2 linked regions of the Oreochromis niloticus genome follow. The protein of the gene in region 1 interacts with the protein of each later gene in a pairwise test. Links are inferred from orthologs where the notes say so. Each region holds a gene or a part of one and is shown in the gene's direction. Other genes may lie near its edges.

Region 1 (6,969 bases):
TAGTGAAAGAGGCCGATGACAACGGGGATGGCACAGTAGATTTTGAAGGTACAGACTGTCTTTTGCCTACATCAGTAAAGAGTAACAGTGCAGTGAAGTGAAGCAACTGATCCGCGTCTTCTTCTCCTTTGCAGAATTTGTCAGAATGATGTCCCATCAATGACAGTCCAGGACAAGGCCAGTCAGGAACATTCATTTGCACCTCTGCAAACACGCACTAACACTGATGCTGTTCTTTTCTGGGCTTGCAAAAACAACACAAACACAAGAAATGTTAAAATTACATGCTGGAAACAAGCAATATCAGACTGATCTCAGAGCGGATTTTATAGCTATGCAAATAATAACAATTTGTAATGATTTTTCAAATGTAAGAGTGCTAAAATAAAAAAACTCTGTTGTTATGTTTCATCATATATACCAGGGATGTCAAACTCATTTAGTTGATCCTTAGTGGGCAGTGGAAAGAAGTCTAAGTATATATTTAATCACTGAAATATCTTAATATAAGAAAAAGAAGTGCAAGTGTGTCTCAGTTTTTCCACATGATAAAGTAATGCTGCTGTGGTAAATGAAAGAAACCTCTCAGCGTGACTCTCTGGGCAAGATTGTGAGAAATAACTGTGTAAGTTTACAGAAAAAAATCAGAAAGTTCTTGTTACTTCACAGATAGTGTCCTTTTTTGTGGACTTATTGTAAAAAAATGAAACTTCTATAGTCAATAGTGAAAAAAAATGAAATTTTCTGTGTTTAATTGTTTCTCTATTACTTAATTACTTTGGTGTAGAATGAATGGGCACGAGGAAAGTCTTCATCAGCAGGAAAAAACTCCAAAACTTGTTACAATACATTGAAAAGTCCAAAAATGTATGCATATCTTCCAAAGGCATCTTGTGGACCAGATTGTAGTCTTTGCCAGGCCCACTCTGGCCCCTGGGCCTCATGTTTGACAACCCTGATATATACTGTATACAGTGGAAGTTTGTTGAATTGGAATTGTTTTTATATTTGTATTGTTATTGAATTATTCTTACCATTTAAACAATGTTACAACAAAGCAGGATGTAAAGTTAAGCTACTACTGTACTGTACATTATTAACCTGAGCTGGTTGTATTAGGTAATCTGTAACTAACTTCCAACAAGTGAAGCAGTAACATGGATCTGCCTTTCTTTGGCAAAGCACAAAATAAAACATCTGATCTGAACATCTGAAAAGGATTCAGGAGTATCTGTGGAACAAGAAAGTTCTCTGTGTCCGCCTGAAAGAAACCCACAGACACTTGACTCATTTAAGCGTAGACCATATTGTCCTTGTGACTTCTTGCATTCCAGTAATGTGCAGTCATTTCATGCCAGAAGGAAGTGATTTAAACATGAAAAAGTTTAGGGACTCTGTTCTACTAGGATTGAGTAAAAACTTTGGAAGGACAATAAGAAACTGTAACTGAAAAGAGGCAGAAATTTGGGATTTTGTGACTGATGCATAACAGATTTAAAGGTATTAAGAGCAAAAAAACCTCCCCCAAAACAAAAAAAGAGGTTCATGTCCCAGAATCTGTCCTTTTAGAGAGACAGTCTGAGCCATTATTTGAGGTTAATACTCTGTGTAAGTTGGGAACTTCACGGAAATATGGACATAAAACACAGAGAGGAGCTTAATAGTATTAAAGAGTATTATAACCCCATATCCATTAAAAAAAGAAAGGAAAAGAAAAGTTGAGTGAAATTTGTGGCACGTGAACACTTTCTTTTTTTTTTTTAACCTGTGGACTAAATCATTCTTGCAGTTGGTGATCAGTAATTGTGTCATACGGATCCAGAGCCAGCGCAGCTGGGATTAAATATTGGGGCTGAATTCAGGGATGTGCTACGGGACACACTGTACTGTCACATTTGGGGAACACCAGCCAGGCAGATGTTGCTGCATGACAAACTGGGCACAGCATCAAACAGACAGACAGATGGGGCATGAGGACTTATGCTGCCAATGAACAAAAGTGAACCTAATTACTAAACACACATCTGTGAGTGGTGCTCCACAGAGAGAGTGATCGCTCTGTCGGTATGCTTAATGGAAAAGTAACTAAATATCTCGTCTTTTATTACTATTAGTATTAATATTAATACTTTTATTTTGAAATGATTGTTCTTTTATGTGGATTGGGACTCAGAGAGACACTGAAACAAAAAAAGTGACATAGGAAAGATTTCACTGCTATTAATGGCACACTAATGTAAGTGAGGGTGTTTAAAGAGGAGGGTGGGGGGCACATTTAACCTTATGGATGTAGTGCCAAGCGAGGGCTGATGAGTCCAGAGGAAGAATCCGATGATGTAATGCTCACTGGCTGGCCTTTGCCCTGATCCTTCCTGATCCCTCTAACATCCAGCGTCAACCTTTATTGCATTAATCCTCAGTAATCTCTCTCTTGGTTGCTCTCAGACTCAATTCTGATGTAGCCTCTATACCCAGTGACTTCTTCTCAGCCAGACACATTAAAAAAACACAAAAAAACAAGCCTTACCATTTTAACTTATTGCACTGATAGCCCCTTCCCCAGGCAGATTTCATTTGGTTAGCTTTAATCTTTCTGAGAAGAGTCGGATGCACTGCGGGGTATCTGCTGCTGGAGCACCTGCCCTGTGAGAGTAAATACAGCTTATCAAAGTCATTCAGTTGTTGCTTGCTCACATTAATCTGTGAATTTGTTTTATAACATTGCGTACAGACAATATTGCATAACACCAGCGCTATAAACACCGAGAAGCTTGTTGTTGAAAAACACTAAGCCGAACCGTAACGACTTGAGAAATATTGTTTTTCTTAACTGTTTTTTTGGGATGCTCAAATGTTGTTATTTCATTATTCCACTGCTACAAATACTTCAACAAATCTGTTGCTATTTGCACTACCTTAACGGAAAAAGAAAGGACTGAGTGGGACAGGAGAAGTGAGTGATGAGGAAATTCTGTGCTTCTCAGTCTTACTGACGTCCGACCTGTAATAAAGAGATCAGTAAGCTGCTTCACCTTCAGCTAATTAACTTCCTCTTGGCCTCTGTTTGAAAAATGTGCACAAGTTTTGTTCCTTTAAATGAATACTGTAGCTAAACAGTGAGCCACTTGTGAATCTTTCAATGCGTCTGTTGTTTTCTTACTCTTTGGTGGCCAGCGTCATATTTTTTATGCTGTAGTGTACTGGGACAGCACAGCTGATTGACTCAATACGGTCTTAAGGAAATCCACTTCTGTCCTCTCAGTGCTGAGGAAACTTGTCAGCATAATGGACACAGCCTCTAATCTTGCATCAGAGTCACGCCAGAGCGCCTTCAGGTGTAGACTAATAAGACCTGGGGGTGAACTAAAGATGACACAGGAGGTCTTTTCTATCAGCGTCCAACAATCTGTGCAGCACTGAAACCAATTATAGAAGAGATGTACACAAATGCCAAACAGAGAAGGGGAGTAAAACTTACACCAGTTCCTCTTTCCAACAAAATCCAAACCAAACCAAATATATAACCAAATTTTCCCAAGCTGGAGTTCAACAAAGTCTTGATAATACTGTTTATTTTATTCATCGATGCAGATTCCTGAATATTAAAACCATCTTTCTCCAAATTTTATGAAGGATATGTGAAACTTTAAAAAGTCACAGAAAATGAACATTTACAAAGCTCTGTTTTTATTTTTTATTATTTATTTATTTCATTTGGGCTGAATTAATATCACTTGTAATTATGTTAATATTATTTATTCATTGTTATTCTCTATTTTCCTCTTTGTATTGTTGCTCATGCGCTCAGTCCTTCCTACATGTAAGTTGTAGTTTCTTTGTCGCTGGCGCAATGGCCAGTTTTGGGTAATAAATAAAAAACAAGAAAAAAGTATTACTAATTTATAATACTTACTTTGTAAGTTATATATATATGTGCTCATGGTCACGGCCAGAGACATAACTTGACCCCATCAATAAATAAATAAATTCATTCATTAAAGTAAAAAAAAAAAAAAGCTGCTGCGGACGGAAGCCGAAAAGGGACATCTTGCGAGTTCTGTAGTAAGTACATCCTCTGCCACTTCACCAGAATGTATTTAGCTAAAAACTGAAAACCATAGTGTTATTAGTTTTCATCCGTGAGAAACAAGCGACAGTAAGTTGAGTCGTGCACATATTGACATGCTGGTGTGGTGACGTTAAAGGACGGTTTACTGTGGCAGCTAATGGCAGCTAACTAGCTCTGCTGTTAGCTGCACGCTTTGCAGCTGTCACAACTCAAAGCAGCTGGTATTAAGTCTATGAATAATGTTTATAATAATCATAAAGTGCATGTGTGTGGCTTTTACTGAATGATTTGCTCCGGACTAAAAAAATGTACGCTTAAGAGTTGTAGCCGTCTGTTTGTATTTGTTTGCTAACTGTGTTTAACTTTGGATGGAGTCTGTAAGCGACGCAGAAACAACATCTGTATCCATGTGGAAATAGAAATGGAAAGGTGGAAATGCGTATAAAACCATACAAAACCGATCACTGGATTAAGTTACATTTTTTTCTTTTAAAAATGTCAGACATTCAGTGCATGTGAGATCTGAAGGCGTCAGTGTGAGCAGCACAGGCTGGGACTGAGAATAGACTCAGCATAGACAGGACATCTAATAATTTGATCAGGAAATCAGTAGAATCCTATGGAGGTATAGAGATTACAAAGAGGGACCACAGAGGGTTAAAGATGACACCATGAAGACATGAGAAAACGTTTTTGAAGCTAGATTAAGAAGAACACTGTGTGAACGATAGTAAGACAGGTGTGATAGTGAAGCTGCCAGGAGCAGAGGTATGTATGTGAAGGTAGATATATTAGACAAAAAATATTGAAGATGCAGCTGCCAGGCAGTAGGAGAAGAGGAAGACCACAGAGAAGACTCATGGATGTAGTGAAGGAGGTCATGCAGATGAGGATTTTAGAGCGAGGTGAGATGGAGGCAGATGATCCACTGTGGTGAACGCCTGAAGTGGACAGTGGAAAGAAGAAGAAGATGATAGCTCAGCAATTGTTAGTTTCAGCCTTGTACAAAAACCTGCCGTCACATATGAGTGAATGTCTGACATTTATGATTATTTAGTTATTTCTTTTTGTCCACACAGATCTCCCCTGATGTTGACTGGATGTAGAAATCTCTCTTGGACATTTTTCTCGCTCACCAGTAGAAGACTTTGGCCTAGACAGAGTTTTACGTCCCGAGCTGCTCTGTGCTCTTCTGCCTTTTCATCCGTCCTTCATTCTCTTTCTTCATCTACCCACAGTCATCACTTCCTGCCTAGCACACAAAGCTCAGCTCGCCTTCCTCCATCTTTTAATTTCTCCTCAGCTCATTCGTCCGGTCTGATGGAGTTAAAGGAAGTTCTGCAGGTTTTGGAGCAGCTTGCTCCACTGTCGCTTGCAGAGTCTTGGGATAATGTCGGCTTGCTGGTGGAGCCGAGCAAACCTCGGCCCGTTAAGACCATTCTTCTAACCAACGACCTCACAGATGCCGTCATGGAGGAAGCAGTGGCTGTGAGCTGCGATCTCATTATTTCGTATCACCCGCCGTTGTTTCGGCCAATCAAGCGTCTGGTTCAGAAAGACTGGAAGCAGCGGCTGGCTGTGCGGGCCGTGGAGGCTGGCATAGCGGTCTTTTCCCCTCACACTTCATGGGATTGCGTGAAAGGAGGCGTGAACGACTGGCTGGTTGGAGGACTTGGTGAGAAGTCTCTCTGAATGTAAAATGTGATGCTCGCACTTAAATCATTAGATATGAACATGATGCTTATTCACTGACCTTCATTTCATCCCCACTGCTTTTTTCTTTGTCGCATCAGGCAGCGGTCAGGTGTCGGTGTTGAGTCAGGTTCTCGGCGCCGCCTCCCACAGTCACAAACTGGAATTCACGGTCAGAAGCGCAGAGGAACTAAACATGATCATGGAGGAGCTGAAGGCTTGCGACAGTGGAACGACCCTACAGCATTCAGGCAGCAGGTTGTGTTCAGACATCACCGATTAGCAACAAGCTTTAAATTCAAGGACCATTTTGGTAGTTTTGTCATATATGTGTTACTTTTGTTTTATTTCTTCCAAACACGCATTATTGTAATTTGAGTTTAGCTTTAATCAAAGTTGGAAATCACCCACAGACACTTGAAGTCATCACAGGTAATCCAAAGCTGCTTTTGGACTATAACTATTACCAAAGATTTTTTTCAGTTTGCATTCGGACAACTTACAGAAACTTCAAATATATATATGTTATAAATTTTATTTCTTAGGGGTTGAAAGTAAGGCTGTGTTTAGCCCCTTTTCCCAACTAAAACTAAAATGTCATTATTAGGGTAAATATCAGGTAGTATGGCACTATGAACATGGATGCTTGAAGGCCTTAAAATAATTGGATATCCTATCACTGAAAGCATATTTCGAAGGCTGTAGAAACTGTAGAGGACTGATACTTTATTTACAGTTTCTCATGCATAAAGCACATAATATCCTTTTAAAACTAAGTCGGGTGAATAATTTCACACATACTAAAGTTTGAATATGGAAAAAGGAAAAAACAACAACATTTTGATCCAACTTCAGTGTGATTTTTCCCTATATAAGACACCATATTCCAAATCTAAATCTTTTTTTCTTGTTTTAGAAACAGCAAGTTTCTGTTAATAATATATCCAAACTTAATGATGGATTTCTCTTCTTCCTCCTTGCATATATTTGCAGATTTTTCTTTGTGTTTTTTTCCTCTTCTTTTTAAGCCTTGCTTTAACAGCTGTTGTTTACGTGGCTAATGTTTTACTGATGTTAATGTCACCTTTGTTTAGTGGTCGTTCGATTTATGTGTTTGACACTCACACCCGGACCAATCAGAATACACTTGCATCACTCAAAGTGGCTTTTAAGTTGGGGAAAGAAGCTTTTCTGTAGTTGTAAATCAT
Region 2 (7,829 bases), on another chromosome or scaffold:
TTATGGCGCGGATGAAGCAATGGAGGTGGCAATGGAAGGTGAAGAGGGTGAAATGCAGCATGTCTTAGGTGGGGACCAAGTAGCGAGATTAAGAGAAGAGCTTGAAGACAGACTAGAGGGTGATGCTGCAGCACTAATGGAAGAAGAAATGGACCACAGAAGGGTTTTTAATGCCAACGAGGGCCGAGATGCACTTCTTAATCACCAAGAAGACTTGCCAGACCACAGGAATCTGGGTAATGGGCAACATGTAGAGGCAAGAAGTCCAAGCCCACCACCAGCACTGGAGTGCATTACCCTGCCTTCAGGCCACATTGCCCATGTAAACTCGGTCCTCCTCCTTGGGGGAGAGGGGAAGGTCTGTGCCACAGCTTCCAGAGACTGGAACGTAAAGCTCTGGGATCTGGAGCTGGGCTCGCTGCTGCACACGATGGGACGGCAGGGTGATTTTAGCAGCCATCGAGGCTGGGTCTGGTGCCTGGCATCTCAAGGACCTCTGCTGGCCTCAGGGGGCTTTGACAGCACTGTGAGGCTGTGGGACCTGCAGGCAGGAGGTGCAGATAGGGCCCTCATCAGGACCAGGGCTGCTGTTCTCTGCTTGTCCTGTCAGCCCGACATGTTGCTGGCTGGTACATTTGACAAGCAGGTCAGCATGTATGACACCAGAGGTGAGAGGGATTTATATGAAGCTTGTTTTGCTGTGTAGAAAGTGCACATGAGGGTCAAGAGTTTAGTAAATGCAAAGCAGTTATACAGACAAATGACTTGCTGAGGTGGATTCTGTCTGTTTTTGTCCACAGCTGCTGCACCACTGGTGAAAAGCATCCGTATGCACAGTAACGCCGTAATGTGCCTCTGTGCAGATGACAAATACATCATCTCAGGGAGTAAAGACTGCACTGTGGCCGTCTATGACCGCAGAGCAGGCAAAGGCTTGAAGAGACTTCGGGTAGATTTCTTGAAGAGCTTGTGCTTTTGTAAACATACTTATATCCACCTTTACACCAAGCCACTAACTCCACCCAACCCACCACTTTACAGCTGAGCTCCTACCTGCTGTCCATGAGCTACAGTGGCTGTGAGGTGTGGGCAGGAGACAACGGCGGCATGCTGCACTCCTTTACCATGCAGGCGGGGACCTTTAAGGCTGTCTCCCAGTTTGATGTGGGACACACAGCTCTGATCACTGGCATCCACAGATCCTCCGGAAGCCTCTACACCTGTTCATCTGATTGCACCGTCAAGGTGAGAGAATTCTTCGTTAACTTAAGCTGCTGGAATTCTGCTACTGAATGTCTTTAAAGTCATGAATTGTAATTTTCCCGCCTGGGCTTCAGGTTCATATACCATGCGCGCCTCCGAGGACGTTAAGCACCCTGCACTATCAAGCTGGGGTCCATGGGGTGAGTGCTGTGCAGTCAGTTAACACTTTGCTTATATAGCAACTTTTTTTATACAACTTTGTAGCTCAGAATGCTTTACAGAACAGCAACATGTGCAAAAAAGCCCCAGCAAACACACACCGTATAAAACTTGTCAGGAAGCCAATGCAGAGACTTTAAAACTGGTTTTATATTTGCTCTCTTTCTGGTTTTGGTTAGGATCTGTCAGTTCTGCAGTAGCTGAGGGGTTGCTATAGTTTTGTTTTTTTTGTTTTTTTCGGATGATCAAAGACGACACCTTTTGAACTTTTTTGGAGGGATTCAATATTAGTGATTGCAAAGTACTGACAGTTCTCTCTCGGGGCATCAGTGATGATATTTTAACTTTATTAATGTGGGCTTCTTTTCATTGTTCATGTGTCTGCTCTCTCCCTCTCGTTTCTCTCACTGCACTGTGTGAAAACTTTCAGCTGAGCGTGGAGGCCGGAGTCCTCGCCGTAGCGTCCGGTGATGTCAGGGTGCAAATCTGGAGGCCCCGAAAATGAAGTGGAAGAAACTACATGGCAACACTGAAAACAGGAACCCCGGTCTTTGTTGTGTTGTTCTGTGTCTCTATACAAATCAACAAACGTATAATAACAAATAAAGAAGCTGCCGTTGCCTGGAAGCCTGGCTATATCAACAGTCATGTAAGTGCTGAGTAAACAGACGAACACAAAAGAGAAGAGAAGAGATGACAATGACGACAGATGATGACCAATCAGGTTATTTTTAATTTTTAAGTAAACTATTTTGAAATGACTGCTTTCAGTTGTTTAATTTAGTTGTAAATGTGTGGTGGAGGATATTTCAGGTATTTTCGTTTTGTCACAAACCCTCACATTGTATTTTTATTATTTTTATTTCTATCTTGTTTGAGCCACTGACAAGATTTTTCTACAGATGAAAAAAACAAATGTTTATTTCCAATGTTTTCCCCCAAAATTTTCATTTTGTGCCACTACTGACCTAATCACTCTTAAAGACACTTTAAATATGCTATGTTCAAACCACTGAAACCACAGACATGTAAATGTTTGTAATTTTAATACATTTATTGAATCTCATATGTAAACTGGCATTATACAACAATAATTACTTAATTAACTTAAATGTTTCATGTACAGTAAAGTATTTATTGCTGTGACACACTGATCGTAGTTCTATAGCTATTTATTTGAATACAGTCAAGAAAGCGTTATTATTTGTGTCCATATGCTGTGTGTGATTTTAATATTGACCAAAAATCATTTACAAACGTGCTGAGAGACTGTTTCCACAGAAGACAACATTAAATGTTCTAAAAATCAAGTGCGTGGATTATTTTGTGATTTCCCAGATGAGAACATGTATTATCGTTTACACAGTGCATGTTCGTGGTTGTGTTCTCAGACAGAGGTTTTCCTCACAGCGCCGTCTGGGAGCCGTCAAAGAATCACACAGGTCTTCTTATCTTTGAAGGGATTGGATGAAGCGGCTATGCCGGTGAGCAGGGGGTCGCTGCGCCTGTGCTCCTGACAGTACTGGACTAAATCTGCTGCTGTCAGAGAGATCTGCTGGGGCAGAGAGTTGACTGGATTTTAGACACAAGTATGAAAAACTGTTGGACAGTGAGCATGGGATGTTTAAAAAATAAAATAAAATGAATATGTATATATATGTATATATATATATATATATATATATATATATATATATTTTATTCAGTACTTTGGAGAAGGAGGGACTTTAATGGAGCAATTAAAGTGTAAAATACTAAAAATTAATATTGATCCAATACCAGGTAAATACAGATACTGATACCTTTAACTTATGTCGCCAGCTTATGTCGGGAGGGCAGTGTGTCATAAATTCAACCAGAGGAATCATAAGTTTTCAAATTCTGAACACATCTTAATGACCACTAAAACACTGATTTTTACATTCAACAATTAACACTACAAAACACATTTCAGATTTCTATGTATTTTGTAACTGTTTTTGGTTTTTTGGAGACCTGGAATGTAAATGTGTATGTGTCTAAAGCACTTTGGATCTGCTTCTGTTGTTTAAATGTGCTGAAGGCTTTAAATAAAACTGATGTGACAATAAACACAAAAAGATTCAGACATTATTCATAGCGCGTGCTGAAATTATAGTATTTTATCCCCCCCCCCAAAAAAAGTATTAATTTAATACAATTTAGTGATCTACATACTGAACGTAGAGGATGGAAACAAATATCAACCAAATCATGCTTAGTATCAATCCAATTAATATTTATATCAATCTGCCCGCCTCTATAAAGGTGATTTAGTTTCTTACCCACCTTGAATCTCTCCATGCTTGCCTCTACCCGAAGTTGATCCACCAGTTTTTGTGCCTGAATAACACTGCTGCTGCTGCTGCACATCTTTCCTGACATTGTCTTGAGAGCAAAAACACAGAAATAAAATGTACTCCTATGACACCAAAGTTAGCAGCAGGAAAATGAGTTACACCAGTCACTTACCTGATCTAAACAGCTCAGGTTATACAGGAGCATCTGCTCAGAGATGCTCCCGACTCCTCCTTTTGACCTGTACCCTCCTCTGTTTATTTTTTTTAATTCCCTGTTGGGGCCAGTTCAAAGACTCTGTGATAGAAAAGGTCAGACAACACAGTGGTGGAAATGTCACAAACATCACATCTCTTCACAGGCACTGCTGGAGGCTGTGCTTCAGAGATGTGGTCTGCCCTTAAACCAAGATTATGTGTCTGTACTTTGACAGAAGATTTTATGATAGTACAAAAGTTTGAGCTCATCTGACTCTTTTTGAGTTCAGTGATTAGTGGGTCCTGATGAATGACAAATTTTAGGACAAGTTTTTTTTTTTTAATTACATCAGGGCAGATGGGAAACGAATGCATGTGTGACACACTGCTGAGCTCTCACAATGTGTTTGATATAGAGAAAAATATTTTAACAAGGTCAAATATTCCCCTAATATTAAAACATACTGCATAGTATTACAGTATTCATCTAAAGTTATGTCAGAAGTTTACATACACTCCTCATGGGCATGACTTAAAAAAACAAGAATTGGAAATTTAGGATTTTCTCTAATCCACACAGCCTCAACAGTATACATACAGGCCCAACACTATCTTTTACACCCAAATCTTTTAATAAGTGGTGCTGAAGGTTCTATACTGTGTTTTAACTTGAAATGGTCAAGGCCTGTTAATTTCTCATTAGTGATCATGGCTGACTGCAACTGGTGGGTGTAGCATAAAAAGGATTTGTGATTAGCCCTCACTGGACTGATTGACACTCAAAACAATGGGAAACTTCACGGAATTCTGCGGAGATCTAAGAAGGGGTGGGAAAAAAATCTCCTAAAATATTACTATTTGTCTATATGTGGAAGATGAGAAATAAAAACACTGTGAACATCACAAAGGTAGAGTAGCTAAAAAAAAAAAGGGCAACCTGGGTCACATTTGTCCCTTTTCACTTTCCGTAGAAGTAGCTCGTTTCTCACAGGCGATCCATGCGACGTTTAGGGGAATACAAATCTTCAATATTTGTTTTTTTGCGCGTAGTGACAGCCGTTTATTGCTCAGCCTTCTTCATCACCTGACGCCTCTTCAAGAACAGGTATGTCTTCATTTCTCTTTTAGATGTTAAGTCGCGATTCAAGCTAGTTTGACTCAGAGTTAGCTTCTAGCTAACGTCTGATCACATGGATTTTGTATGTTTTCATTGATGTTTTAGCACCTGCTAAACGCCATATGCTCTTTTAATAAAGACAAGTCCCTGTACAAAGGCATTTCTTCCAAAAATAAGTGGAATTTTACATCTAAACCACAGGATTTTTAAAGTTTAGATATTTTGTGGCTGTGAAATCGATGTTATTTTTTTAAAAGCTCATCAAAACCAACGTGATGGCCATAAGTCGCATTTACACTTAAAATATTCATCTGCTTACTCTCACATTAGCATGTGCATTAACGAAATCACCAGATATGTAATCCTCAAAATAAGTATTAGAATATCCTGATAAATCAATGCCCAGTCACCTCTCACAGCGTTAGTACTCATAAAATCAGATAGCTGATTTTATAAGCTTGCCATATGTTTATGTAAAGTGTTAACGAGTAAAATTACAGCATAGTTGAGTAAACTGTGCAGCAGATCTATAGCAATGTAACTGCAGTACATTGCTGTGGTAATAAATATACAAGTTATTTTCCTTCACTTCAACTACGGTATGAAATTAAAGAGATTTTGAGCCACCAGATACGAGAATATACAACAGACCTGCTATCTGCTCATTTCCAGCTCCATGTTTTTACTTATGGAATCTACTAGAGTATCTTTATGTAAATAACAGTTAAAATAATCCTTATTTATCTTGTACCTGCCCTCAACCGCTTCCCTAAAAACCTGCTTTCTTCTGATTGGCTGCCCTCGGAAACAGAAGGTTTCAATAGCAGATGGGTGGAGCTGTTGTTCACAGAGCCTTAGCTGACCAAATGAAGAAATCCTCCCTCACTGACATCATTCGGAGGCCCAAAAACAAAGCAGTATATAGTCTCCACTTCTGGTTCACATGGATTACTTTTGCATATGTTGACCTTTCTATGAGGTTTTTAGCACTGTAATGAATGATGTATAGAAAATCAGGAAAACTGCAGTAGGTGCACTTTAAAGGAATCTGCAGGATGGACATCCACCTTAGAAACATGCTGCTAGCCTTTCCAGGAATTCAGTTATTCAAATTTTTACTAGGAATCCACTAACTTTAGTTTCTTTACATGCAAACACTCCAGTAACCAAATGTTTCAGGAAAATGTTCTTCCCAACATTTGCACATTCAAATAAATAACATCCTGAATAAGCTGGATCTGCAAGTGTGCGTTATATTTATTTATTTTTTTTACCTAAAATATGCTGAAAACCTCCAAGAAGGCCCATCTCTGTGGAAATCTCAAAGAGTCTCTGTTTGGTGATTGTCTTTTGCAGAAAAGATGGCAGACCAGGCGCCCTCAGTTGCCATGGAGGCTGTCCTGAAGCCTAGCTGTGACCTCCCCAAGGACATGCCGAAAATCAGAGGTTACGACTTCAACCAGGGAGTCGATCTCCATGCGGTGCTGAAGTCCTATCTCACCACGGGTTTCCAGGCCAGCAGCTTAGCCCTGGCTATCCAGGAGATCAACACCATGGTGAGAGGAATGCCTTTGGGGGGGGTTATTAACTTTCAGTAAACGACTACAAGGTGTCTGGCACCCACACCTTCTCCTTTTGTCTTATAGATAGTTTTGGTTTTGCTTGCCCAGGTTATGCTATGTGCATCTTTTGGCATTTCTTCTTCCACTGCAGTACAAGAGGAATCCTATTGATGGGAATCATAGGGATCATATTGATATGAATATGTCACTATTTAAAAAAAACAAAACAAAACAAAGAACCCTAAAAGCTTTTAACTTCCTGGAGTCTTGCTCCACTGACACTGAGAGACTTTTATTCGCCCTCCTCATCCAAAAGGCTTATCAGTCACTCCAGACCGGGCACATGTGTCACACCCACAATCAAACCTCACTTTTATCCTGCGCTCTGTTTACCTCAAAACTTGGAGATGGAGTGCAAAAGTACAAATTTGTTGACTTTGATGAAGGTTTGACATTGAGCCAGCGGTGGTTTTGGAGCCAGCTGCTCAACGCTGTTGTGTTTGGCCTCACTTGTAAGGTGTGTTTGTTGCCATAGTGATCCACGTTGTATGTTTGCGATATCTGTTTATCTGTTGCTCACCAATGATTTCGGCCACCACAGATCGAGAAGCGTCTCGAACCAGTGGAGGAAGGGGAAGGAAATGAGTCGGAAACCCCAAAGTCAGGCTGCACCATCTTCTTGGGGTACACCTCCAACCTCATCAGCTCCGGAGTCAGAGAAAGCATCCGCTATTTGGCGCAGCACAAAATGGTACATAATGACACGTCTCATGTAACGATCCACATAAGTTCTAAATCAGTCACCCGGTTTCTTAGAATCTGTTCCTCTGCGTCAGGTGGATGTGATTGTAACCACAGCAGGAGGCGTCGAGGAGGATTTAATCAAGTGCCTGGCTCACACCTACCTGGGAGACTTCAGCCTCCCCGGCAAGGAGCTCCGCCTGAGAGGCATCAACAGGTTTGTTAGGGCTGCCGCAGTGTATCTGTAAGCTAACATGTAAAATAAAAATATTAATAGTAAAATATAAAACTGTTTGTTGTGGCCACTCTTCAGCTTCCGTTTTAGCTCATCCCCCTGGCTTTCTTCTGTTTGACTTCCCCTTTTGAAACTTTTTTTAAACAGTGTAGATGAACAGTATATAAGGCAAAGCAATAATAGGTCCACTTTAAAGAAAACATGCTTATTCGCTTTATGATCGATGGCACTGCACAGAG

The links.
Region 2: the proteins of nif3l1 (region 1) and dhps interact in binary tests that used the Homo sapiens proteins (3 or more experiments, as listed by UniProt). The two-hybrid records come from large-scale screens. The link is inferred for Oreochromis niloticus from reciprocal best matches to the Homo sapiens genes NIF3L1 and DHPS.

What each region holds. Positions count from the first base shown.
Region 1 is NC_031973.2:16,634,225-16,641,193, forward strand, and holds the start of nif3l1 (NIF3-like protein 1), read left to right. Parts: upstream 1-3,962; 5' UTR 3,963-4,062; exon of another isoform or gene 4,063-4,156; intron 4,157-5,148; 5' UTR 5,149-5,158; coding exon 5,159-5,744; intron 5,745-5,862; coding exon 5,863-6,019; intron 6,020-6,969. Other genes in the region: cabp5a (calcium-binding protein 5a), read left to right, coding at 1-48, 135-163. UniProt on the Homo sapiens protein: May function as a transcriptional corepressor through its interaction with COPS2, negatively regulating the expression of genes involved in neuronal differentiation.
Region 2 is NC_031969.2:16,865,117-16,872,945, reverse strand, and holds the start of dhps (deoxyhypusine synthase), read left to right. Parts: upstream 1-4,769; 5' UTR 4,770-5,040; intron 5,041-5,703; exon of another isoform or gene 5,704-6,289; intron 6,290-6,408; 5' UTR 6,409-6,413; coding exon 6,414-6,608; intron 6,609-7,215; coding exon 7,216-7,365; intron 7,366-7,450; coding exon 7,451-7,572; intron 7,573-7,829. Other genes in the region: fbxw9 (F-box/WD repeat-containing protein 9), read left to right, coding at 1-668, 801-949, 1,042-1,245, 1,338-1,403, 1,853-1,927; guanine nucleotide-binding protein G(I)/G(S)/G(O) subunit gamma-7, read right to left, coding at 2,849-2,974, 3,730-3,828, 3,913-3,945. UniProt on the Homo sapiens protein: Catalyzes the NAD-dependent oxidative cleavage of spermidine and the subsequent transfer of the butylamine moiety of spermidine to the epsilon-amino group of a critical lysine residue of the eIF-5A precursor protein to form the intermediate deoxyhypusine residue.